7 linked regions of the Mus musculus genome follow. The protein of the gene in region 6 interacts with the protein of the main gene of each other region in a pairwise test. Links are inferred from orthologs where the notes say so. Each region holds a gene or a part of one and is shown on either strand. Other genes may lie near its edges. The genes, in order: Sh2d4a, Dcx, 2310011J03Rik, Epc1, Scnm1, Rint1 and Lmo2.

Region 1 (3,500 bases), on a different chromosome or scaffold from region 6:
GCAATTAAAACACAGAAATTTTGTTTGTTTGTTTGTTTGTTTGTTTGTTTCATTTTCCCAAACTCTGAACAGAATTCTTTTTAGTTTTTAGGGGCAGAAGATGTAGCTCAGTGGCAGACTGCTTAGCTAACATGTGAAAGGCCCTGGGTTTGATCCTGCTACAAGCAGACAAATAAATATTAGAATATTAATAACATTCTATATAAGTCAGTAGTTATAAAAAAGAATTTGTTAGTCAGTAAACATGAAAGATGCTGTTTTCTTCTAGATCACTAAATTTTTCGTTTTTATCTTCGAGCACGTGTTGCCCCTAGAAGGTAAATGTAATTTCATCTCCAAATAGAGACTTTGTTCCAAAATGGATCCTTTCAAAATTCTGAAACTGTGATCTTCTCTCTGTGTCTTAGGAGAGAGCTGCCATCAAACCTTGACTCCAGCAATAAAAAGTAGCCCAAGATCCTAATGTTACTTTTAGTCTCTAGAGGCAATGCTGATCATTAAACACCCTTCGGCCTGCATGTTCCCCCTCCTCGTTTCTGTCAGCCTGTTGCCACTGGATGGAGGTAGGGACAGCAAGTCACCTTGACATCGTCACCCTGTGGTTGGGTTCAAACTTTAGCCACTGTAGATAACTTACAGGAAAGAAAGGAATCAAGGAAGCCGGGTTAGAGGCAAGCCTGTGTTGACTTAAGCAGTGAGCCAACATCCACCGCATCTCATGCCCCAAGGAACACAGTTTTAATCAGTCCATCTTGGCCCTTATGATGAAACCCCTCTGTATGGCTTCTTACCCTAAAGACTTTGGAGGGATTCCCAGCGGCTGTAGGAACTGGGGCTTCGGAGGAAGAGGAGGTCTTCTGGGCTTCTGTGGACCTGTCAGTGGGTTCTGCAGTCCGTCCCCACTCCTCCCCCTTTGGGATAGCCTCTTGTAGTCTTCCCGTGCTTGTTTAGCTAAAGAGCGTCTCTTCTCATCAGCCGCCTTAGATTTTCGCACTAGAAAGATAACATTGTCTGAGTTAGCCCACCAGGCTTGCCAACAGTCACATTCAGAGCCCACAGACACAGCAGACTCAGCCCTGCTCCATGGTACTCTGGGAAGGCTCCAGACAGAGTTGCTTTTGTGCTCATATTAACTATCATCCCCAGTACCTACTATCACATTTTAAGGCCCCTCCTGTACTCGCTCCAGAATTCCTATCTGCATTTAGGAACTAGGGACTTTCTGAGAAGGAAAGACAAGAAAAAGAAAGACAAAGGAGAAGAAGGTGGTAGGGTGGAAAATGTACAGCAAGGTTAAGTTACTGCACCTGGCAAACCTAAGCTGTGAGGACTAGTCAAAGAGACAAAGAATAGAGGCTGGTCAAAAGTCACATCCAGAGGCTACCATAGACTTCACTGAAGGGGAATTGGCCAAAGAGACAAAAAGCAAAGGGATTCTAACCATAAACACATTGTGGAGAACTTCAGAACACCTTTGTAAACACACACATTTCCCAATCTGCCTTCTAATTTTAATTTCTTTCTTAAATAGACAGGGTTATGTTTTAGCCATATAGTGTTAAAGATTATTACAGGATGCAATCACTCATTTTTATGGAGGATTTTTGTTTGAATTTTTAAAATTCCAGACATTATGGGCTAAATCCTGTCATGTTTGACTCTGAAAACATACTCAAAATATTTCATCATACCCAAGTTTCACTGCTTAGCACAAGAAGGCCACAAATTGTATCTTGCAAATATTTTTTTTCACCAAAGTTTTTGGTATTTGTTGTAGAGGAACTGTAGACTAATTTAGGACTCTGAGCATCTAGAAAAATCTTGCTATGTGGGTTTCACCTCTTTACAAGTCTCAGGGGACTATCAGGCAATTGAGTGAGTCTTCTCTGTTGATGGCATGTGAAGACTCTATTCTCATACCTGGGTTGCCCATCCTCTGTCTATCCTGATCTTTCTGGTTTGGCCCTGGCAGTACAAGCTCCAAAGAGGGTCAATGTTGGGTCAGAGGCAGAGATACATGAAAATGATGCAAACATATCCCACCTGTCCATTTTGTGTGCTCTGTGTTACAAAGTCATGGATTTGGTGGGCATTTCATAGGTCACCCTATAAGGAGAACTGAGATATGTCAGTTTTTAAAAAAAAAAAACTGTTTAAAAGTATATGCACTATTGAGAACTTGGGGAAAAAACAAAACAGAATAATAAGAAGTAAAATTCAAACAAACAATTTAAAATCCATCTTCTCCAAAAGAAAAAACAAAAAAAAAAAAAACAAAAAAACAAGGTTCACATGTTAATAACTTTCCTGCTCTCTTCCTTCAAAATTTCGAATTTTTAAATAGTGGTTTTTATACTATTTATAATGTTTCTTATCCAAGAAAGAGACAACTTTTAAAACCACTAAAGAGTTTTCAACATGATAGTTTTCATAGCTATGTGTAATTTAACCATACAGAGACACTATAATTTAATGGTGAAAAGATGAATGAAGCCTTCTGGCTTGCGGAGCATCTGAGTAATTAGCGTTTATTGATACCATTTGAGTGACACTCAGTGGAAAGATACTTCTCGAGGACCCACTGTGGGTGCCTCCTGCATGGATAGTTTTTCATTAGCAGGTCCAGTTGAGACCCTACATGTTGCTCCTGAGATCCTGGGTACTCACGAGATGCTTGCCATTCTGAGTCTTCTTTCCAGCTCTTGTATATCTGCTTGGTTTTCTCATCCTCTGTCTGCTTCATTTCCTCGTGGTCTTTTTCCTTGACGGGTTTAGTCTGTTGGAAAATAAAGACAGAGCTGGGAAGAGGTGAAAGAGTATGACGGGGTCTTTAAGAGGATAGAGGACAGCATCCTGGCTTCTATTAAACTGTCTCCTCCCATTAGGGAGGAACTTGGTGTCAGCAAGGCCTGAAGCAAGAACTTCAGCTACCTCAGTATAGGGCTGTAGGCTCTTTTCCTGACCTTCTCACAGGCTGTTTTCCCAAAGTACAGCTGGAAAGAACATTACAGAGTTATAGTGAACATCGTGTTTTCAGAAATGCTTAGCACAATATATTGCATGTGACCTTACTAAACGGTCCTTCCCCAGACACAGCAGTCAGATATTTCAAATATCCTTCTCTGAAGTAAACATGCCAGCATAATCACTGATCTGCTGAAGCTGACAGGCTTCCAAGGGCAGTCTCAGCTGGGGACTATATGTTCTCCAACTTTCTATACAAACATGGAAGTTGATATATGATTTGGGGTGGCTCAAAATGGCATGAGTTTCCTTTGTTTTCTTCTTAGAACACTTTGAAATACACTACAGAGTGAGTACAAGTTCAGCACAAACAATTTTGCAAGACCGTATCTCAAAACTAAAAGAGGGCCATGGATTCAGCTCAGGAACATGGAATAGCTTTCTGAAATCTTATTACTGAGTTTCCTAGCATGAGCAAAGCTTCAAGCTCAATGTCCTGGTGCCATAGCAGCAGGAAGAGGCGGAGGAGGAGGAGA
Region 2 (3,979 bases), on a different chromosome or scaffold from region 6:
CTCCCTAGAGCCTATGACCTCCAAAGACATAGTAGCTTTTAACCAGTTGTATAGAACCAGAAGATTCCACTCTACGGACTAGACCTCAATTCCCAATCTTTAAAACACACTTCCCTTCTTAGGTGCTGCTTTCCCTTTTTTGATGTCTACACACACACACACACACACACACACACACACACACACACACACACACACACTATAAGCTAAAGTCCCATATGAAAGAAAGAAAATAAATCCTTTTGTCTCTCTCAGCCTCGGATACTTCACTCAGTATATCATTTTCGGTTCCACACAATTTCTTGCAAATCTCATAATTTCACATTTTACTGATGGGTGATTAAAATCATGCATATATCTTGCATTTTCATTACCCATTCATCTGTTAACAGACATCTGGGCTGTTTCTATTTTCTGGCTTTTGTGAATAGAGCAGCCATAAACACAGATATGCAAGTGTCTCTATGGTAGGTTATAGTCTCCTTTGGGTATATGCCCAGGAGTGGGAAGGTGAAACATTAACCAATGTTTTACATCAGTCTAAAATGTTTTGGAGTCATGCTGGGCCTAGAGACCTAAGTGCTGGCAAATTCTAGTAGCCAAGAAGCAGAACAGAGGCTGAAAATTTTCAGCAAATGAGAGGTCAGCCTGGGCTACACAGCGAGTTCCAGAACAACTATCACTATAAAGCTGGACCCTGACTCGATAAAACAACTGAACAAAAACTTGGAGAAGTGCCACTTTTCAATTCCAGCCTTCATGATTCCTGCAACTATTTTCCCGTGTACTGTCAATTTACTATTCCTGCTGACTTCGTTTAAAAAACAACCAGTGTTGGATGCATGAGCCGAAATGTTAAAAAATTTACATATTTTTTATTTTCTTTGAAGAAGATAAAAAGAGGAGATCTGTAATTTCTAAGAAACTTGATTTGGCCTGCTGAGTCCAGCCACTAGGCAGAAGGTTTTAGCCAAGTAAAATTGCCAATTTTCTAAGAGAAAGGGCTAGCACATTGCTCATTAGAGCATTCTGAGCTTGCCTGTGCAATCTTTTTTTTCCTACCCTGCAATTTCCTGTGCGTTATAAACGAAACCTTTCTAGCTGTTAATGCAGGCTGTGAATTGAAGAAAAAAAAGCATGTAATTAATCATAGGAGGTTGGGGGTGTTCGCTAAGCTTCAGTTACAGGGGAGAAGCTGGACAAGGCACTAGGACCTAGAAGGCAACTATCCACCCTGGCAGGAATTTCTTGCTTGGAGCTCAGACAACAAAGGCATAGAGAGATTGGTTTTCTTTCTCTCAGCATCTCCACCCAACCAGCAGAAAACCGGTGAGTGGGGCTTTCGAGTGATTTTCAAGCAGAATGTAACAGATGTCAACCGGGAAAGCACAAGGCACACGGCTTTCTTTCTCTGTGTGTTCGCCTCTTTCTTCTCTTTTATTTGCCTTATTCTATAGGATTTTTGTCCTCTAAGATTCTACCTGGGATTTTCCTTTGGAAAAGTGAGTTTGTTGTTCCTTTGTTTTCACTATGATGCTAATTTAGAATAATAGCACTTCTGATTCTAAAGCATAGCTTTATTTGCACAGCCTGCCTGGGGAAAATGCTTGCTACTCATCTTGAGGAGGTGGGCTCTTACTACTGCAGGTTGTCTGACAGAGACAATGCTGAGCTCAGCATAGGTCATGGTGACACTGGAAAAAAAGGGGGTACTGAGCCTGGCAAATATACCAACTACCAGTCCTCCTTTATCTCCTTTCTCCCTGGTTTCTTGCAAATCTCGATGTGGCAGTATATATATAGCAGCTGAGCCCTCTTGCTTTGTGAGTCTTTTTCCCCCCATTTGTGAGATGAATGTTAATAGTTTGGTTTCTTGGATGTCACATTACCTTTGTAAGGGGTTAGGGCTTTGGTTGTATTATTGGGTTGCATGTTTTCATTGTTTTGGACGTTTTTTTTTCTGGTGGGGGACGGGTTCAGGGGGGTTGAAATCCAAGCTTGACAGATGACTTTTTTTTTCCCTCCATCAATACACCTAAGCAATAGACAAGTTTGAAGTGAATTGCCTGCTTCGAGGGCAAAATATTCCTTCAGTCAGGGGAGAAACCCAGAACAATGAAAGGTGTACCTACTTGGAAAGGTCCCATGTGCTATTCAGGGACCCATTTGGGAATCTTTCCACAATTATTCCATTAAGAGGTGTTGCTGCATTCATTGGTCGGGGAGGGGATGAAACACCTGAAAGGAGAAAAAGGATTCTGTGATCAAATGGAAATGAAAGGGAAGCAGAGCTAATAGCTTGCTAAATAACTGGGTTTTTTCGACAATCCCTCCCCCTTTTAGACCCCAGCTTATTTCTTATGGATGCCGTATAGCGGCACCAGCTTGATGGGGAGAGGGTTTGATGAATAGCACAAAGGCACTGGGTATTCCCTGGAGGCTGTCCCTTTAAAAGAGAATCCTAGTTTATTCTGGGGGAGGGGATACACATATTAGAGCAGGCAAAAAAGGACAAGGAATAAAAGTAATTCACCCCCTTCCTAGCCATTGTATTGAGATGCAAAGGCTGCTTCCTACAGGAGGGTGCTAACCTTGGCTAGCTCCCTCTGTTTCTCTTTGAGGGAATTTAGTCAGGCTATGGATTCATTTACAACTGTTAGTCATGTGGCCATGTGTGAAGGAGCAGATGCCAGTTTTAATGTATTTTGCCCGAAGTTACAATTTGATAGGAGCCACTGTCAGGAAGCTCCAGGTTTTTAAGCTATTTCAACACGCCCTCCCCAAATTGGAACAGTGCCAAAAGTGCCACCCTTTCTATCTCTTCCTCCTATCCCCCTCCCCACCATTCAGTCCTCAGCCTACTGCCCAGCCCCCTCCTTCTTCTCTATTAAGATCAATATTCCTGCAGGTCAGGGACAAGCAGCAGATGGGTCACAGGCTTTTTTCAACCAGTTCTTTTCACAGGCAGCAGATTGCAGCTCTGGATCTGGCTAATATTTTAATTCTCCCCCCTCCCTTATCCATCCTTATTCTTTGCCTCTCCTTATCTCCACCCTTTTCTCTAACAATCAGGTTGCTGTGGTTCCACCAAAATATGGAACTTGATTTTGGACATTTTGACGAACGAGACAAAGCATCTAGAAATATGAGAGGGTCACGGATGAATGGACTTCCAAGTCCCACTCATAGTGCCCACTGTAGCTTCTACAGAACCAGAACCTTGCAGGCATTAAGTAATGAGAAGAAGGCCAAGAAGGTACGTTTCTACCGCAATGGGGACCGTTACTTCAAGGGGATTGTGTACGCTGTTTCTTCTGACCGTTTTCGTAGTTTTGATGCGTTGCTGGCTGACCTGACCCGATCCTTGTCTGACAACATTAACCTGCCTCAGGGAGTGCGCTACATTTATACCATTGACGGATCCAGGAAGATTGGAAGCATGGATGAACTGGAAGAAGGTAATTCAAGTAGTGAGTAGTGGGGTGGTGGCCCCTAGAGGGAAAGGACATCCTCGCTTATGGTTACATTTTTAGTCTTCCTTGAAAGAAACTAGGCTATTTGTTTGCTAAAACATCAAGTTGACTGATGCTCAGGCTTCTGATCCCAAAGTCACCACCAGGATCCTTAACTGTCATTCCTCATGGGGTTCCATCTCTGCTGAGGTTGACATGAATATGGGTTTTCTAATGCTAAATGTGCTTATCTACCTGGGTATACAAAGGAAACTCTGAATTGTGACACTCACTCTAGGTGTTGTTTATGGGTAACTCTGTATAGCACCTTCAAAGCAGGCCATGAAACCATTAGGGGAAAGAAGAATGTATGGTTGGTTTAACAGATAAAAAAATGTGCCCAAGTGTCCTATGGACTACTGATAAATTATTTGGGAATTGCCATTCATTAGAAATACGTACCCCAATGTAGGAATTCCTAGATGTGTTCACAGAGGATTAGACTTTTAGGTAAGTGGTTGCGGCTC
Region 3 (4,082 bases), on a different chromosome or scaffold from region 6:
CCCTCCTGTTACACCTGCTGCAGCAGCCTGAGCAGCGACTACACTGCCTGTCCCCTGTCCCTTGTGTTGGGAGAGCTCCAGAGCCCCTCCAAGGCTTGCCACCTCTGGTGGCCCCCCAGCTACCAGTCTTGGGCCATGGTGCTGGCTCTGCTGGCCAGGGCCTTTGGGAGGCCCCTCGGCTTGAGGAAGGCCCACCTGCCCCAGGCTAGATACCCCAGTGCCCAAAACCATGCATGCACAGATCCCTGGAGGCTGGAGAGCCAGAGATGCCTGGCTGTCAGGACAGAAGGCCGGTACCCCAAGGTCCTGCTCTCAGGCTGGAAGAGAAGCCTGCCCCAGAAGGCCAGGGCAGAGCAGCTGCATGGGTCAGGTGACAGCCCACCGCTCAGCCTCAGCTGCTCCCAGTGGAAGAGATGTGTCCTTACTCATTTTGGAGCAGGTACAGTGGGCAAGAGGTCAGACCACAGCCACCAATCATCTGCCCCTTCCCTGTCTCCAAGCCATCCATAGCCCCATGTCTAACCTCATAGTTGCCAAATAAAAGTTAAACAGAAGATGTCGAGTTTATGGTGTCCTTGAGGGTAGGGTGGGCCCCTGGAGGAATAAGGACCCACAGAGGAAGACTGCTCTGAGCCCAGATCTGCCAAGTGCTGAATTACCATACAGCCATGAACAGGAAGCTAGCTCGCTCCCCCATCCCCCACTGGTTTTTTTTTTTTTTTTTTTTTTTTTTTGGTTTTTCGAGACAGGATTTCTCTGTTTAGCCCTGGCTGTCCTGGAACTCACTTTGTAGACCAGGCTGGCCTCAAAAATCTACCTGCCTCTGCCTCCCGAGTGCTGGGATTAAAGGCGTGCGCCACCACTGCCCGGCTTTCCCACTGCTCTTTTGAGACAGGGTCTCACTGTGTAGTCCTGGCTGTTCTGGGATTCCCCATATTGACCAAGATGATCTTGAACTCACAGAGGTCTGCCTGCCTCTGCCTCACAGTACTGAGATTAAAGTACTGAGTTAAAGGTCTACCACAAGGAAGCAAAGCCTGTGGCTAGGTTCCATCCAGCATTTATTGAGCGCCCACTGTGTACCTGGCAATGGTTGTACACTGATTACTCTCGAAATCACGTTCACCCCTTTCCTCCCACCACACGCGGTGAAGGAGGGCAGAGTTCCTTCTGATCTTACTGGATAGCAACTAGGAGCATCTAGGCTTAGGGCTCTTTAAGACGGGGGAGGGGTTTCGCGAGGCGTGGCGCTGGAGTGGACCGGAAGTGCCGGAACGTAGTGGCGTTCAAGCAGGAAGCGGAAGCGGTGGCGGCCGCCTAGGTTCTTGGAACGAAGATAGGCAGCGGGGTGTTCCAAGAGCAAACTGGCGCGGAGATCGAGCCAAACTCCGAGGTTCCGGGAGGAGGGAAAGCGAGACGGGGTAGGGACCTCGGCGCAGGTCTGTAAGGGGTGCGTAGGAGTTCGCGAGGTGGGCGGGCCGAGCCGAAAGTGGACCCCCAGTTAGCGCGCGCTCCACCTACAAGATGAACTCCAAGGCGAAGAAACGCGTGGTACTGCCCACTCGCCCCGCGCCTCCCACGGTGGAGCAGATCCTGGAGGACGTGCGAGGGGCACCCGCTCAAGATCCTGTTTTCACTGCCCTGGCCCCGGAAGGTAGGAGAACGTGAGACTCCCGAGTGGGGAGCAAACCGACTGCAGGGACGAATCTTTTTTGTCCCTGCCCTTCTCTTCCCCTGCAAAGAAAGATCATCAGAAATAAAATTGAAAGTGCTCCGAACTCTTGGGAGGCAGAGGCAGGCGGATTTTTGAGTTCGAGGCCAGCCTGGTCTACAGACTGAGTTCCAGGACAGCCAGGGCTACACAGAGAAACCTTGTCTCGAAAAACAAAAACAAAAAAAAGTTGAAAGTGCTGCCAACCCGGGTCTAGGGCAAGAGGATTGCTGTGAGTTCAAGACCTTGTCTCAGAGGGGCGTGGCCAGCTGCTCCTACAAATTAATGGGGGGCCAGAGTACTTGCAGGGGCCATATCTGCGACTCCTGGCCTAGGATCCAGGAATCCAGGCAGTCCTGGGTAGAACGGCAGGCCAGGGTGGCTGGAGGTGTCCTGTCCTCTCCATGACACCAAAACCTGAAACTGAGTCTTGTTTTCTAGTGCCTAATAGGCCTATATAGCCCAGGCTGGCCTCGAACTCACCATGTAGCCAAGGATGACCTTGAACCACTGATCCTCTTGCCTCTGGGTTGGTGGATGTCAGGCCTGGGGATGGTGACACTGTTTCTTCTCTTCAGACCCCCCAGACCCATCCCCAAGGGCTGAGGACTCTGAGATCCAGCAGGAGCAGATCTACCAACAGAGCCGGGCCTACGTGGCTATGAATGAGAGGCTGCGGCAGGCGGGGGAAGCTCTGAGACAGAAGTTCGATGGCCTTCGGCAAGCTGGTCAGCGGCTGGAACAGGATATCAGCCAGGTGACTTCAGCCACCTCCTAGAGCCGAAGTTACACCTGATGTCCTTGGTCCAGGCCTGGGCACCTAGCAACCAGAGGCTCTGGGTCAACATTTGCTGTCCCAACCCTGGCCCGGGGAGACCCAGTGGCCCACCTTGCCAGCTAGCAGCTTTGTTCCCTCTTCCATCCTTAATGGCCTCTAATTCATGATGGGACTTAGGGACATGGCCACCTCCTCATTATGGGGACACTGGCCTAAATTGCATCAAGGACTTGATTGCAGGTCGGGGCTCAAAGCCAGTCTGCCCCATAGTGACCGGTGTGCTCTTCTGTCCCATGTCACCCTGGGCAGTGAAGGTCTTCATCCCCAGCATCCACAGCAGGCCAGCCACTGGCATCTTGGTTGAGAGAATGGGCTAGCTGCACGCTTCATAGAGCCTGGCTCAGGCCCTCTAGGGCTACACTGCCTTCTCAGTTCTCCCTGGGGCCGGGGAGACTCATCAAGGGAGTTTCCATTCTGGGGAGCCCAGGGGTCCAAGAGGAACTCAAAGGCCAGGTCCCTGTGTGTGGTGAATGTTGCCCCTTCTGGATCTGGGGTTTAGTTTGCCTTCTTGCAGAAGACCCACCACTCTTGGGGTGGCTGGACTTTAGTTCTGGAAGATTAAAGATGTTTGATGCCTGAACACAGTTCTCCCTTAAGCCAGGCTAGATCACTGGGTACCCAAGCCCCCTGCCACCCCTTGGCAGCTCAGGCGCTAGCTACCACACCTGCCTCCTTGGGTCCCAAGCTGGCTGGAACTGTTTTGTCAGAAGTGGCCTTAGCTTGTGGCTACATCATTCCTGACACTCCACATTCCTGGCGGTCACGGGGTCCAACTTGCCCTGACCAGTGCAGCTTGGACTCCTGGTCCCCACCTCCACCATGACACCTCCACCACAAATGACCAGTGGCTGATGGCCAGGTACAGCTTGGCTGAACCTCAGTCAACCTCGGCTCCAGCATGTGGGGATGTGACACGCTGTCGAGTCAGTGGGGAGCTCAGAAACACCTTCTGGGGTTGAACAGAGCTGTAGAAGAAGGTCTTGGAACGACCCCCCCCCCCCAGAGCCAGTGATAAAGATGAAGCTACAGATCGATGGAGTGGCTCGCTTTATTAAAGATATGAACAAGAATCAGAAGCCAGGCAGGGTGTCCACTCGGGGGTCTGCGTGGGGGGTCGGGGGTCAGTATGTACAGAAGTGTAACACTGTAGTAGAACAGGGCGGGAGACGGTATGGCAGCAGAGGACACACTGACCAGGTATGAGCAAGGGGTGACATTGGCCAGGGACAGCGACAGACACACACACACACACAGTGAGGTAACTGGTAGGCATGATGCCCTGGTCAAGCACCCAGTGGTTAGTCTCCGGTAGACCACTGGTGTCCAGCTCAGAGCGCTAGCAGCCATCGGCAGCCTGGCGGCTAGCAGACCCCTCCTGCTCTGAATCTAAGGGCTCGTCAGCTCTTGCCTACCCTGGGCTGGATGTCACACTGTGTCCTGTGTCCCCCACTGTCTGGGGTGAAGAAGGCAAATGTGGCTGCTGGGCCCCCAAGGCTGGCAGGATGGGAGGAGGTGGCTGGGAGAAAGATGGCC
Region 4 (3,500 bases), on a different chromosome or scaffold from region 6:
CAAATGCACAGAACAGATGGATTCTCAACCACTGAGCAAACACTGAAAAGATGCTATTATAGCTTAATAAAAGCCCAGAAAACTATTTGAAACCAGTCCAAATCATGTATTAACTAACGATCATTAAAAACAATTTATCCTACCCCTATGTAGATCTAGCCCTAGACATTCAAAGTCCCCATCACTAAGTCTCCCCAAGCTCCCCTTCTGACACACAGGACAAAGGGGACACAGCATTTACATTACCTTCTTGGAGGCTACCTCACACCCTACTCAGAACACCCTCCATGGGTGCAGAGTTGTGAAATGGCCAAGACTGAGTAGCAAGCTGAAGGGACCCCGAGCAGTGAGAAGCCTTACAACTGGGCACTCTTTGAGGAAGTGAGTACACTCCTGGTACCTTCAGTTGGAATTTCCTATTAAAAAATGTGTATACAATTCACTAATAACTACTTAGAAAAGGAGCCTGGTGGGGGTGTGCATCACTTGTAAGTTTCGATTCAATCAGAGTCAGTAACTGAATAATCAGAAGTGGTTACATTTGAAGCTGACTCCTGTCCATCTGACAGGATGGCAGAGTCAGCACAGCTAAGATCTAGCCTGCTGATGCTTTTGGAGAGGACCTGGCTGACACTCATGAGACCCTCGGCAGATCTAGGCTGTCTCTGGAGAACACTTCGACTCCCATGTAACAAGCAAATAGCTGGATTGTCTTTTCTGTCTTCAGGGGCAGCTAGCAGACCTCACTTATGTTAAATGCACATATGACATAATTTGTAGAGCCACAGAGAGGGCCTCAGATCTCATGAATATCTATCCCAATAAGAAAACAGAGTGTAACTCTATGGTAGCCTGTAGGCATTTATTCTCTAAGTATATTTGAAAATAAACATATTATTTAAAAAGGCCCTACTATCAAATGATGATTATGGAGAAAAGCTGCATAACTATGAAAGGCTTTTTTGGGTAACTTTTGCTAATGTCTACCTTTTAATGATGTTTGGGAGACAAATCAGCAAAGTTTGCAACTGGCACTGACATGCCTCTGTAAGTCATGCCAGCACACCTCGTTCCATAGACTGAAATGCAATCTGGAGGTCTGTCATGCTCTTCAGTGTCTCCACCACAGGAGCGACATGATGTGGGTTGATAGAACATAGCTACTTTCTCCATAAAAATCTCAAAAAAATTTCATACATCTTCAAAAATATTTTTGGGGAACCAATTAAGAGTTTCCACTTTTGAACTCCCCACACCTGTGTCAGTTAAGCCTTCACTACACCAGCTCTTCAGCCTGACTTTAAGGACTATCCAGGACAGAAAAAGAGTAGTAAAATTAGTGGAATTACAATCATTAAAGTCCCCCAAACTACAGAAGCCTGATATAGCTGTCTCCTGAGAGGCTCTACCAGTGCCTGACAAATACAGAGGTGGATGCTCACAGCCAACCATTGGATTGAGCACAGGGTACACAATGGAGGAGCTAGAGAAAGTACCCAGGTGGCTGAAGGGGTTTGTAGCCCCATAGGAGGAACAACAATATGAACTAACCAGTACCCCGAGAGCTCCTAGGGACTAAGCCACCAACCAAAGAGTTCACATGGTGGGATTCAGGGCTCCAGCTGCATATGTAGCAGAGGATGGCCTAGTCGGTCATCAATGGGAGGAGAGGCCCTTGGCCCTGTGTGGAGGTTCTATGCCTGAGTGTAGGGGAATGCCAGAGCCAGGAAGCAGGAATGGTTGGGTTGGTGAGCAGGGGGGAGGGGAGGGGAGGGGATAGGGGGTCTTCAGAGGGGAAAACCAGGAAAGGGGATAACATTTTAAGTGTAAATAAATATCTATCTATCTATCAATCAAAAACACTTTAATTGTAACCTAATTATGTAATTAGGGAAACAATCCTCTTTTAGAAAATCTGTATTAGCCGGGTGGTGGTGGCGCAAGCCTTTAATCCCAGCACTTGGGAGGCAGAGGCAGGCGGATTTCTGAGTTCGAGGCCAGCCTGGTCTACAAAGTGACTTCCAGGACAGCCATGGCTATACAGAGAAACCCTGTCTCAAAAAACAAAAAAGAGAAAAAAAAAAAAAAAAAAAAGAAAATCTGTATTAAAATCATCCTAAAAGAACTTTAATGAAATGATTTTAAAATATTGTAAACATAAGCCAGGCATGGTGGTGCTTGCTTTAATCTCAGGAGCAGAACCAGGCAGATCTCTGAGTGTAAGGCCAGCCTGGCCTACAAAGTGGTTTCAGGACAGCCAGAACTACAGTGAAACCCTTTTTCAGAATACCTACCAAAACAACTACCACCAGTAAAAATACCCCAAAAGATTTCATTTATTGTATGTATGTATGAGTGTGTGCATGCACATGCCACAGCACATGTCCAGAGGCCAGAAGACAAACTGAAGGAGTGGGACCCTTTCCTTCTACCGTGTGGGTCCTGGGCACTGAACTCAGGCTGTCAGGCTTGGCACTCGGGATCTTAATCTGCTGCGCCACGCTGACAGTAAGCTTTTATAATTTTAACAACTCAGATAATGTGGACTCAGTAGTTTAAAATAGAAAGTCACAGGGCATGGCACTGTTTCCAGTGTTTTGGTCACCCTGTAGGGATTATCTAAAAATGTCTCCAAAATATTAAGTCAGCTTCTCTGGTCTTTATTCTGAACGAGTGTCAGTGTAAGTTCACGTGTAACTACTGACTACTGGCCACAAAATTTAAGCAGACCGGATTAGATGTTCAAGTACATACCACTAACAACTTGGGGTCCCTTTTATTTTATTATTTGAAAATCAATCTTGTGGTTCATGGGCTGCCTTAAGGTAACAAATTAAACATTAAATATGTATTAACATACCACATACCACCTCTTTTTGGCTGTGGTTAAGGAAAGATACACACACACAAACTCACAGAGCAACAGCACTACTGAGGAGAATTCAAAGAAATCCTTAAGCATCTCAGTATGAGAATAAAACACCACATCCTCAACAAGATGGAAGGCCCCGCCCTGGTACAGCAATGGGTACCACAGATGAACGTACCACAGTGTGCTGAGCCACTGCTACTTCTGTTCTGGGTGGAGGTGCTGCACGTGTGGGCCCCAGGCTGTGCTGCTCCTGCTCGACTGATACTCCTGTGTAACTTTCTACTGGAGAGTTCACCACTGTCACTGTCAGGCAGGGATGGTGTCCGAGGCCTAAAGTGCCGCCATCTACATGATTTGATATCGACTAGTATCTGACTGAGGTCTTTAGAGGAAGATCTGTCCGAGGTATTGGGTTCTGAGGTATTGGCAAACTGATTGACTGGAGAAGGTTGTGGTGAGGAAAGCATGTCCAAATCCAGGTGGTGAAACATACTGTCATAGTCTGAATGCGCTCTGTCCAGCACGACCCTGTACAAGGAGCAGACACCAGAGATTACATCAAAGTTTCTTCCTTTCTGTTCCGAACGCTTTCCCCTAAAGCTGAACACCAGTACACTGAATAGTTAAA
Region 5 (3,940 bases), on a different chromosome or scaffold from region 6:
CTGATCTGGATCTTGGCATGGAGATCTTGAGGCACAGTGGCTGTGAAAAGCTTAGGTCCAGGCAAGGTATAACATGCCTTTAATCCCAGGAGGCAAGGAGAACTCTGATTCAAAGTCAGCCTGGGACAAAGCAAGTCCCAGATCCAGGTGTGGTGTACACGCCTTAATGTAGGCCACACCTTCTGCTGGAGGCCTACATAAGACCACTGGAAGAAGGAAGACTCACTCTTCTTCCACTGCTTGCACTTACTTGCCAAGCACATCTTTAGAACCTATTTATACAAGACCAGCTGAAACAACCAGCCTTGTGGGACTGAGCAACTATTAGATTCTTAGACTTCTCATTCACAGCTGCCCATTGTTGTAACCCAACAACATGACTACAAACTGTAAGTCATTACAATAAATTACCTCAATATAGACAGATATTCCATAAGTTTTGTAACTTTCCATATTCCTTATGCTCTAATACATAGTTCTAAGAGTTTTTTGTTTGTTTGTTTGGTTGGTTGGTTGGTTTGGTTTGGTTTTTCGAGACAGGGTTTCTCTGTGTAGTCCTGGCTGTCCTGGAGCTCACTCTGTAGACCAGGCTGGCCTCAAACTCAGAAGTCTGCTTACCTCTGCCTCCCAAGTGCTGGGATTAAAGGCGTCGCCACCACTGCCCGGCTGGTTCTAAGTTTTTGTCTTAAGATTTTCCAAGGCCAGGCATGGAGTGCTCACCTTTAATCCCAACACTTGAGGGATAGAAGCAGGCAGATCTTTGTGAATATGAGGTCACCTTGGTCTAAATAGCAGGGTTTCAGGACAGCCAGGGCTACAAACAAACAAAAAGTACACCACCGTGCTCTACTAATGTTACAATTCTCTCTTTTTGAATGTATTTATTTATTGCACTTTTTAAAATATAGGAGTGCTCTGTCTGCATGTGTACCTACATGCCAGAAGAGATCCCTTTTGGATGGTTGTGAGCCACCATGTGGTTGCTAAGAATTGAACTCAGGACTTCTGGAAGAGCCCCCTGCGTTCCTAACCACTGAGGCATCTCACCAAGCCCTAATGTTCCTAATAAGTATGATTATTCTACAATTTTCCACTTGCTAAAAAATTTATTTTAAAATCATAAACCACCGGGCAGTGGTGGTGCACGCCTTTAATCCCAGCACTTGGGAGGCAGAGGTAAGCAGATTTCTGAGGCTAGCCTGGTCTACAGAGTGAGTTCCAGGACAGCCAGGGCTACACAGAGAAACCCTGTCTCAAAAAACAAACAAACAAAAAACCCAAAAAACAAAAAACCTGAAAAAATGATGGTTTACGATTTCTTTTATATATATGAGTACACTGTAGCTGTCTTCAGACACCCCAGAAGAGGGCGCCAGATCTCATTATGGATGGTTGTGAACCATCATGTGGTTGCTGGGAATTGAACTCAGGACCTCTGGAAGAGCAGTCAGTGCTCTTAACTGCTGAGCCATCTGTCCAGCCCCTACCATCATTTAAAAAAAATATTTCCACAAGATTATTATTTCTCAGAATACAATCTGGAGAGCAATAACTTTAAAGTCATCTATTTCCTTCTACCCTTTTCCACTCCTGGCTTTCCCATTCCACGGACCTGTGCTTCCTCCGGCAGCAACTGTTATAGTGGGGAGCTCTGTGTAGAGCATTCTGGGTGATGATTCGAGTCTGGGTTAGCAAAGGAGCCTGGTGATGAAGAGACAGAGTTAGAGCTGTTAGGAGCAAACGTTCCCTCAAGCCTGTTGTGTGAAGTATAGCCCTGTCTAAACCACACCTGATGCCCTCTCACCTCAGTTTTGCTTTCTGTCTTCAATTCGTTCTGCTGTCTTGGATTTTGCTCTGTTCCCTTGCCTGTTTGCTTTTTGCCATAGAAAAGCTTCAGACCTGAGAACAAAAGCAAGGAGGAATGAAAAGCACAATGCCTGGTGGCTTGCTCTCCATCTCCCGCCCTCCCCACTTCTCTGATACTTACTGGACAAATGCTTCTTGCCTGCACGGTGGGCTGTCAACATGGCCAGCGTGTCTAGTACTGGTCGATGGGGGCAGATGGCACAAGCAAAGCTAGGGAAACGAGAAGTGAATGATGTGTGTGGTGTGTGGTGTGTATGTTGTGTGTTCGAGAGCCTGCAGTCGGGGTGTTCTTGCTATGGTGAGTAGGTCCTACTTCTGTCAGAGTACTCCACCACCAACTCCCAGGTTTCCCGATCTCCACCCCTTACACTTCACTTCCAGCCAAAGAGTCCTATTATACTCCTGAACTCCTTAGTGACAAAAGTTTGTTGAGCCTTTGATCCCCGAATCCCCAGGCTTGATCCACTCTTCGCTCTCACCGTCCATCCCGCAGCATCAGTGCCTCGTCCTCAGGGATGTAACTAGCCAGCAGGTCCCCAACTCTCCGTTTCTGCAGGGAGCAGGATAGGAGAAATGAGTAAGAGGGACGGATGGAAATGAAATAGTATGGATAAGGAGTCAAATGGCACACGGGGCTATGCAGATCATAGGGTAGTAGGGGTCACCACTCAGTTCTGGTCCCCTAAGCCCTCCCCTAGATGTCGCCAGAGCAACAAAACAAAACAACAGGGCGGCTGAAGGTGATCAGACTCTCACTAAGGCTTACTTTGAGCACATTGAGTTGACTCCAGTCGTCCCCTTCCCTCTTAAAAGACATAGCGACTGTGAGACTACGATAAATTCCCCTACGCCTACTTCGCTGCTCCTTTAGGCCACCGTAGAAAGAGTACACTATCGCCTTCTCTGCTTCCGGTTTCTTTCTTGTTGAATCTGTACTTCCGGGGATGATGTTCCACGCTTGCGTCGCGCGAACCGGAAGACCCGCCTCCAGCGCCCTGAGGGGGCCTGCATTTCCTACAATACTTTGAGACGCTGTGCCTTTTGGGAAATGAAGTCTTTTGGTTATTTATTTTATTTTTTTATTTTTTTGAAGAGCACACTGCTCACCTGGACACAGGACCTCACATCTCGAAGGATCCAGGTGTTCGGAGACTCAAGATCCTGTATGTGGAGCCGGAATTTCAGGGTGGGACCTTCCTGATGTGGAGCGAGGCGTCAGGGATCTCAGTGGACTATATACTACAAACTCTTGCTGTCCTCAGGCTCGTACTCCTCAGCCACAACCTACCTGGGGTGGGCCTTATTTGGAACAGAGAGGATGTGGGAGCACCCGGCATCCCGACTGTTGGATGTGGGGATACACTGAGGGAAGAGTGTTGATGAGGGTGTCTAGGGTTCAAAGGTCAGAGATCAGGCTTGCGAGGAGTTGGGGAGGGGGCGTCGAAAGTCAACCGGGTCAGCGACTGACAGCTCAGGGAAGATACTTATGGGTAAGGAGCTCGTGGAAAGAGAAATGTAACCGGCCTGGCAGACTTCTTAAGAGACGGACAGTAACTCCAGGCACGGCAAGAAGCAGCAAGAGGAGGACGACGAATGTAGTCTCTCGAGAGTCGGGAGACTGTAGAGAGACGAGAGAAGAGAAAACGAATTATCTGAATATCCATTCCTTGGGTTCGGCCGTCACTGTTACTTAGCTGGGCTTCCCTCAGTTGTGACCCTAGGTCTTGACAGTGAGGAGATGGCTTCTCCCTCTAGACAGCCTCCCCTCGGGGGGTCAGGGCTGCTGCATGGGAGCCGTGCTCGTTCTTATGGAAGCCTGGTACAATCATCCTGCTCCCCAGTGAGGGAAAGACGCCTGGAGCATCAATTGGAGCCTGGAGACACCCTGGCTGGATTAGCACTCAAATACGGGGTAACGGTGAGTCTTCCAGAATTGAGATAGTCCCGAGAAAGTGGGTGGCCCGCTAAGATGCCCCCTCTCACATTATTTAAATTCTATTATGGTCTGTTTTTTTTCTTCCTTATTTTGCTTTCACATCTCAGCAGAGCACTGTTGGGACAGATCTGCCCAACT
Region 6 (3,500 bases):
TCTCACAAGCGACACGCTAGCCTGGACACGGCGGCACACACCTTTATTCCCAGCACTCGGGAGGCAGGGGCAGGTGGGGCTCTGCGAGTTCCAGGTCAGCCTGGTGTACAGAATGACTTTCAAGCCAGTCAGAGCTAGAGTGATCGATCCCTCATCACCAACAAAACCGCCTGACCTAGGAGCTGGGAGAAAGTGTGCTATGGTAGCGCTCCTGACTCCTGACCATGCACAGGAATCCCCTGAAGATCTTCTCCTGATACACAGAATCCAATTCAAGGGAAGAAGAGAGAGCAGGTGAGCCCGGGCAGTGGGGATAGCAGATCTCAGTAGTCACAGAAGAACATTGTACAAGAGATAACAGGGACACTTACGGTTTAGGAGGGAGGAAGGAAGACAGGGAGCACAGATGACTGGGGTTTAGGACCAACCCCACTAGGGAGGCAAGATTCAGACTCCTAGGATACAGGGCTGGCTCGAACTTGTCAAACCAACACAAGCTAGAGTCATCTGAAAAGATGCCTCCATCAGACAGTCCTTTAGGCAAGTGTGTGGGCATTTTCTTGTTTAACGTGGAAGTGTCCAAGCCACTATGTGTAGTACCACCCCTGGGAAGGGGGAAGGTGGTCCTCAGTTATATAAAAACCAAACATTGTAAACCAAAACCACCTTTATTCCCCAAGTTACTTTTGATCACAGCATTTTATCACAGCATTAGAAAGCGAGGCCAGCCTGGTCTACAGAGTGAGTTCCAGGACAGCCAGGGCTGCACAGAGAAACCCTGTCTGGAAAAACCAAAAAAAAAAAAAAAAAAGAAAGCAAGACTTGAGTGTTGGACAGATGCAAATGCTACTAGCCACTGAGGAAACCTGTTAAGAGACAAATGAGAATAATATTGGACAATTTCAGATTTGTGGTGGTTTGAATATGTACAGTCCCCATAGATGTGAGTGAATGCTTGGCCTATGGGGAGTGGCCCTATTAGGAAGTGTGGTTTTTTTGGAGTAGGCATGCGTTTGTTGAAAGGAGTGTGTCACTGTGGGGGGTCTCCTATATTCAGTGTAGCACAGTCTCCTCCTTACTCCCTGCAGATCAAGATGTAGAACCCTCAGCTCCTTCTCCAACACCATGTCTGCCTGGACACTGCCATGCTTCCCACCATGATGATGATGGACCAAACCTGGAAGCCAGCCCCAGTTACATGCTTTCCTTTATGAGAGCTGCCTTGGTCATGGCGTCTCTCCACAGCAATGAAAGAAACCCTAGGACAAGTTTCACTTACGGACTTTAGCAAGTCTCTGTGGATTCAAGAGGTAAAAGAGCAGTGGCAAGCTAGAAAATGGAGAATGATAATAAACGCTTTTTAAAAATACCTGAACAACCAAATGAATGAACAGACACCTACTAAAAAATGAAGGGAAGGATTTTGGTTTGTTTTCTGGGGAAGACCTAAGTGTGCTCGTCTACTGAGAAGACAGGACTGTTGGTGAAGCAAAGGATAAAGCAAACTAAGGCCACTGGCTGCCAAGGTGCTGGGAAGGAAGGAGCTAGGGTGTAGGGCTGCCTTAGCACTGGCTCCTACTAGAAGACTTATGTGGGGTAGAAGTGTTTCCTCTGTCTGACAGGAACAGAGAGATCAGGGGTTGGCAGCATGTGCAAACTCCAATGGTACATATGTATGAAAATGTCATAATGAAACCTACTTATGCACTAAAAACATTAAAGATATATTTCTAAAGCCTGGGGCAGCAGGTGGTCATTCAGCAGGTAAAACATTTGCAAAATCAGCCTGATCAGCCAAGTCTGCACTCTGGAACCCCTGAGAAGGCTCCATGCTCTCTGCGTCAGTTCCCGACTCCAGGTTCCTGCCTTGAGTTCCTGGTTGGCAGTGTGCAGGCCTTGCATGCATAAGGCCCTGAGTTTGATCCTTGGGCACACAATTTGTTGGTACATGTTGAAAATCCTAGCATCCCAGAGGTGGAAGGAAGAAGACCAGAAGTTCAAGGCCCTTCTCTGCTACACAATTAAAGTCTCATCTGGGACCCTGTTTAAAACAAAAGAACTAGTTTACCTCTGAAAAGGTAAACAGATTATAAATAAGTTGGAAATATGGGATAGACTGTTAAGTCAATACATCCATGCGAGATGCTTCGCTTTTTGGTTAGAGAAGAGGTAACAGCATTTCAGCCACACAGGAAGAGGGGAAACTTCTGGATGACTGAGGACAATATAAGACTGCACGGCGAGGCTGAAGACACCTATGGTGTCAGGCCACAGATTAGGCTAGCCTTGACTAACTCAGGAGTGCGACATCCTCCACCAGAGCCTTGCAAAAGCAGAAAAGCTGAGCCATCAGGCTACACAGAGACCATCAGTAGGTATGACAGGAAAGCAGAGATGTGGAGGCCTAACTCAACCTAACTCAGCACATGGGGATGGGAGAGCATAAAGACACACCATGCCCACATATCCAGAGTTGGCTCGCCCTAATTAATTTCTTACTTATATGATAAAATATTTTCCCTTTGACAGAGTACTGCAACTATAAGACCTTCTTATCTTTAGCATAAATTATTTTCATTGGATTTCTAAAAATAAAAGCATTATATTCGTAGTAAAATGAACCCCTAAAAATGTTTAAAAGCAGAAGAAAATAACTTTTCAGCCAGCACCCAGAAACAATCATTCTTACAGTTCTCTCAGTTTTTTATTATTTTTTATGACAGGGTTCCATGGAACCCAGGATGGTCTGAAATCATCCTGTAGCTGAGGCTAGCCTTGACCTCTTGATGCATTTGCCTCCTACCTCCACGCACTGAAGTTATCAGTGTGTGCCACCACTCCGAGCAACCACTATACAATACTCATGTTTCTTTCTATCTGGGTAATTACACACACTTGGAATGGTTATGTGTAACCATTTCTGCACATTCTGAAATTACTCATAGAGTTGTTCTAGAAGTTACTGAATGAAAGAGATATACAATGCTAGCTATCATAAAGAAATTATTATATCAAAACAACATAAAATGTTAGCTATCACAGCAAGTCAGTAGGAACTCTTACTTACAAACTACATAGCAGGGGTCTTTAAAGCCTGTCTCTCAGTTTGAGGCTTGCCCTCATGGCCTGCATCGACAGTGCATGATGTGCAATACTCATAATACTGCTTATGTTCCATGTCCATGAACACAGTTGACAGAACTGCACTGAGGCTAACACTTACCTGTTCTTCTAACTTCACTTTGCTTTCTGTCATTTGTTCTATGAGTTTACCAAGTGTCTTCAAAGACTTAAGGTCACTTCCCACTTCCTTCTCTATGAATGCAGACACATAGGAAAGGAGCGCGTCGTCACTGCCACCTTGGCTGAGCTGCTCGCTTCCAGCAGGAGCTGCAGTGTTCACGTCACCTACAGAAAGGAAAAGCAGCTACTCAGCAGCACCTCGAGGCTGCCGGAGAGATACGCAGGCCAGGACACCAGAGCACCTGAGGGCTGGAGGC
Region 7 (3,500 bases), on a different chromosome or scaffold from region 6:
TGCCGGGCGTGGTGGCGCACGCCTTTAATCCCAGCACTTGGGAGGTAGAGGCAGGCGGATTTCTGAGTTTGAGGCCAGCCTGGTCTACAAGGTGAGTTCCAGGACAGCCAGGGCTATACAGAGAAACCCTGTCTCAAAAAACCAAAAACCAAAAACCAAAACAAAACAAAAAAAAAGACTATCTACACATATGCATATGCTTATTGAGTACTAAATGAGAACCCACCCAAGAAACTTATAAATGAATTCTCTCTTCCCCTAGTTCCCTGGATATTTCCCTACGTACACTTCTCCAAACCCTATCCTTTGGTCTGCCCCCACCCCCAGAATTTTGTCCTTATTCTGAATTCCGTGTTTTTTATTCTCTTACCTTTAAAAACATTGGTGATTTACCATGCAGTGATGTGTCTCTGCAAACATAGCCACAGTAGAGGAAGAACTCACGGCTTCTCTGAAGAGGCAGCTGAAGCTCAGCCTCCACAGCCTAGGCCCCTTAGGCAGACACCTCAGGAGCTAGAGACTATGTATCCAACCCCGGATGTGCCCCAGAAGTGTGAGGGATATACCTGAGATAGTCTCTCCTGCACAATTTCCGTCCCAGCTTGTAGTAGAGGCGCCTCCCCACCTCTCCCAGCCGACACCCACAGAGGTCACAGCTGAGGCAATCCTCATGCCAGTACTGGTCGATGGCTTTCAGGAAGTAGCGGTCCCCTATGTTCTGCTGGCAGCCACCACATGTCAGCAGGGATGGGGGTATCTGCAGCACCTCATCCACGGGTTCCCTGGGGAAGAGCCAAGCATTAGGATATGCTGCCTGAAGGGAGACAAGCACAAAGTCCCAGGAATCACTGCATGCCCAAGGTTCTATGGGGAACCTCACTACATTTCCTTCCAGCAGTATAAGGAGAAAGGACGCCCAAATTCAGACTGCATAGACACAGACAACCTTGGATAAAGACGGGAGTGGGCTAGAGAGACCTTATCATCTGAAAAACTGAAGACGGGATACCAGGAGGTGTCCAAGGCACCTACAGATAGCCCTTGGACCCTTGACTACATTCCAGCATCTCTGCAGGCACCTCTGATCCAATCTGCTTCTTCCTCCTTCCCCTCCTACTCTCCTCCATCTTCCCAGCCCTCCCTCCCTTTTTTCTTTGGACACAGGCACTGCCAAAGAATCCCAAAGAATAGACTTGGGACCAAAGGAGTTGCTCACAGCCAAAGCATCTGATGACCCCCCCCCCCCCCAGTGTGCTAACAATCTACAGATAACCTGTTGAATGCACCCTACAAAGACCTTCCCGCTGCACAGAATCAAAGGTAGAGAAGGAAGAAAGCCATCGAAATTATATTTGGTTGCCTTCTCTTCCCCAAACAGAAAGTTCCGTCAATATCTGATTATTCCGATTGAAGTTCTGCATTCTTCCATACATCCTGCATGAGTCTTTGGATGGAGATTCGGTTTCATAGGTAGAGAGACAGCCCAACATGTCAGAGGCCCAACGGTCATTTCTCCAGTACCACCTAAAGTGGGGACATACACCCAGTCCATCCTGAGGTGGAACCTGGAGGAGCAGGATGGCAAGTTTATCAGCATCATCCGGAGGCTCTGGGCTGCGTTAGACACTGTCTCAAAGAAGTACAAGATCTGAATGACTCTGGCAGGAAATCTAGGTCACGATGCAGCTCTTAAACAGACAGAGGATAGTGGTGATGTGGTTTTTTTTTTTCCTTCAAACTTTTTTCACCACAGCAAAAGTAGTTTGAATAAAATCAAATTAGTAAAGAGAGTGGAGGAGGGGGCCAAACAATGGATTTAAAAGAGAGTGGAAGGCAATTAAATTGATACCAAAGTCTCAATCCAGGCACGGTGTTCACAGTGAGCCTGAGGGATGTGTTCTTTCATTTAAAAAGTGTTATGTAGGGGATCACAAGATGCTTAGGAGGTGAGGGTGCTTGCCACCAAGCCCAATGATCTGATGTGGTCCCCAGGACACACACAGCGGAAAGAAAGAGCCAATTACAGCAGGCTGTTCTATCCATGCACATAGATAAACACACACACACACACACACACACTAATGTAAAAATTTGCTTTAAAGTCACACATAGGGCCTTCTGCTTGCTTTGCCTCCCTGGAACCTGACCACTTTTGTTTTACATGTAAGAAATAACTTTACTGAGAGAAAACGGCATGGAAGAAATGAATGTGATGTCAGATAGGAGACAGGGGATACTTAATGCTTGTTAATTTGTAATATGTGTTCCTGGAACACTGTTCAAATAAAACCTGCTTTTAAAAAAATCTAGTATAAAAATTTTTTTAATTGGTTTTTATTCCTATTATGAAATCTCCAATGGAATTTCCTCCTGAGTACCCTAGGTGATATGTCTGTGTCTCTTAGTTTTATTTGGCACTTTTACCAAATGACCTTGTGGCGTAATTGGCCTGTACCCATGAAGCCCAGCTTCATTATAGTTGGGGACAGTGAGACTCAGGGAATGAGTGTTTATAGGGCACTCCAGCATCTACAGGTGACCCTATCTAGGAGACTATTAAGCATCCGTTGTCAATATTTAGCTAAATGCTAATGCCAAACCCACCATTTTAGCACAAAATATAAGAGTATCTTCTTTTAGAACCAGGAAGTTTGAAGCTCAGGTCAGTTTCTTTGAGAAAAACAAAGATCAAGTCAGGTTTTAGGTGTTGTTTGTTTGTTTGTTGTTTCAGTACTGATGATCAAACCCAGGTCCCTAGTCGCTTTAGGTAAGTGCTCCACCACTGACTTCTTTCTCAATTCTGTTTGTTTATATTGTTTTTAAAGGTTTATTTTTATTTATAATTGTATGTGTGTGTGTGTGGGGGGGGGGGAAGGGTGAAGATGCACACAAGGGCAGGTGCCCCAGAAGGCCATGGGCCTCAGATACCCTAGAGATGGGGTTACAGAGGGTTGTGAGCCACCCAGTATGGGTGCTGGGAATCCAACCTGGGTCCCATGTAAGAGCAGGGGATGCTCTTAACCACTGAGCTGTATTCCGGTTCTCTCTTCCCTTCACATGGGTTCCAGGAATCAAACTCAGGTCATCAGACTTAGAGCAAGCACCTTTAGCAGCTGAGGCAGCTCGAAAACCCTTTCCTTCCTTTTAAAGTTTAAGACAAGATCTCACTAAATTGCCCAGGTTGTCCTGGAACTTTCCATTCTTCTGCCCCAGTCTCTCATGTATACAGAATTATGGGTGAGGTGGGCTAAGACCTTAAATCGTTTTAATAATACACTAGAAGTTGCCAGGCAGTGGTGGCACACACCTAAAAATCCCAGCACTCTGGAGGCAGAAGCAGGTGGATTTCTGAGTTTGAGGCCAGCCTGGGCTGCAGTGTGAGTTTCAGGACAGCCAGAACTACAAAGAGAAACCCTGTCAGGTTCCTACTAGAGCCTTTGTTTCTATAGGGTATATATAAGGCATCCATCCTCATATTTGAAAGTTAACTAAGATCCTTG

The links.
Region 1: the proteins of Rint1 (region 6) and Sh2d4a interact in binary tests that used the Homo sapiens proteins (3 or more experiments, as listed by UniProt). The two-hybrid records come from large-scale screens. The link is inferred for Mus musculus from reciprocal best matches to the Homo sapiens genes RINT1 and SH2D4A.
Region 2: the proteins of Rint1 (region 6) and Dcx interact in binary tests that used the Homo sapiens proteins (3 or more experiments, as listed by UniProt). The two-hybrid records come from large-scale screens. The link is inferred for Mus musculus from reciprocal best matches to the Homo sapiens genes RINT1 and DCX.
Region 3: the proteins of Rint1 (region 6) and 2310011J03Rik interact in binary tests that used the Homo sapiens proteins (3 or more experiments, as listed by UniProt). The link is inferred for Mus musculus from reciprocal best matches to the Homo sapiens genes RINT1 and C19orf25.
Region 4: the proteins of Rint1 (region 6) and Epc1 interact in binary tests that used the Homo sapiens proteins (3 or more experiments, as listed by UniProt). The two-hybrid records come from large-scale screens. The link is inferred for Mus musculus from reciprocal best matches to the Homo sapiens genes RINT1 and EPC1.
Region 5: the proteins of Rint1 (region 6) and Scnm1 interact in binary tests that used the Homo sapiens proteins (3 or more experiments, as listed by UniProt). The two-hybrid records come from large-scale screens. The link is inferred for Mus musculus from reciprocal best matches to the Homo sapiens genes RINT1 and SCNM1.
Region 7: the proteins of Rint1 (region 6) and Lmo2 interact in binary tests that used the Homo sapiens proteins (3 or more experiments, as listed by UniProt). The two-hybrid records come from large-scale screens. The link is inferred for Mus musculus from reciprocal best matches to the Homo sapiens genes RINT1 and LMO2.

Annotation. Positions count from the first base shown.
Region 1 is NC_000074.6:68,328,528-68,332,027, reverse strand, and holds part of Sh2d4a (SH2 domain-containing protein 4A), read right to left. Parts: intron 2,777-3,500; coding exon 2,668-2,776; intron 994-2,667; coding exon 792-993; intron 1-791. UniProt on the Homo sapiens protein: Inhibits estrogen-induced cell proliferation by competing with PLCG for binding to ESR1, blocking the effect of estrogen on PLCG and repressing estrogen-induced proliferation. May play a role in T-cell development and function.
Region 2 is NC_000086.7:143,930,420-143,934,398, reverse strand, and holds the start of Dcx (neuronal migration protein doublecortin), read left to right. Parts: upstream 1-1,179; 5' UTR 1,180-1,329; exon of another isoform or gene 1,330-1,502; intron 1,503-3,072; 5' UTR 3,073-3,094; coding exon 3,095-3,458; intron 3,459-3,979. UniProt on the Homo sapiens protein: Microtubule-associated protein required for initial steps of neuronal dispersion and cortex lamination during cerebral cortex development. May act by competing with the putative neuronal protein kinase DCLK1 in binding to a target protein.
Region 3 is NC_000076.6:80,317,755-80,321,836, reverse strand, and holds 2310011J03Rik (UPF0449 protein C19orf25 homolog), read left to right. Parts: upstream 1-1,288; 5' UTR 1,289-1,524; coding exon 1,525-1,654; intron 1,655-2,289; coding exon 2,290-2,489; 3' UTR 2,490-3,582; downstream 3,583-4,082. Other genes in the region: Pcsk4 (proprotein convertase subtilisin/kexin type 4), read left to right, coding at 1-31.
Region 4 is NC_000084.6:6,445,858-6,449,357, forward strand, and holds part of Epc1 (enhancer of polycomb homolog 1), read right to left. Parts: intron 3,401-3,500; coding exon 3,048-3,400; intron 1-3,047. UniProt on the Homo sapiens protein: Component of the NuA4 histone acetyltransferase (HAT) complex, a multiprotein complex involved in transcriptional activation of select genes principally by acetylation of nucleosomal histones H4 and H2A.
Region 5 is NC_000069.6:95,131,213-95,135,152, forward strand, and holds the start of Scnm1 (sodium channel modifier 1), read right to left. Parts: upstream 2,801-3,940; 5' UTR 2,684-2,800; coding exon 2,633-2,683; intron 2,417-2,632; coding exon 2,346-2,416; intron 2,077-2,345; coding exon 1,988-2,076; intron 1,900-1,987; coding exon 1,805-1,899; intron 1,702-1,804; coding exon 1,613-1,701; intron 815-1,612; coding exon of another isoform or gene 775-814; exon of another isoform or gene 594-774; intron 1-593. Other genes in the region: Lysmd1 (lysM and putative peptidoglycan-binding domain-containing protein 1), read left to right, coding at 3,605-3,784. UniProt on the Homo sapiens protein: As a component of the minor spliceosome, involved in the splicing of U12-type introns in pre-mRNAs. Plays a role in the regulation of primary cilia length and Hedgehog signaling.
Region 6 is NC_000071.6:23,794,211-23,797,710, reverse strand, and holds part of Rint1 (RAD50-interacting protein 1), read right to left. Parts: intron 3,409-3,500; coding exon 3,224-3,408; intron 1-3,223. UniProt on the Homo sapiens protein: Involved in regulation of membrane traffic between the Golgi and the endoplasmic reticulum (ER); the function is proposed to depend on its association in the NRZ complex which is believed to play a role in SNARE assembly at the ER.
Region 7 is NC_000068.7:103,973,287-103,976,786, reverse strand, and holds part of Lmo2 (rhombotin-2), read right to left. Parts: intron 783-3,500; coding exon 567-782; intron 1-566. UniProt on the Homo sapiens protein: Acts with TAL1/SCL to regulate red blood cell development. Also acts with LDB1 to maintain erythroid precursors in an immature state.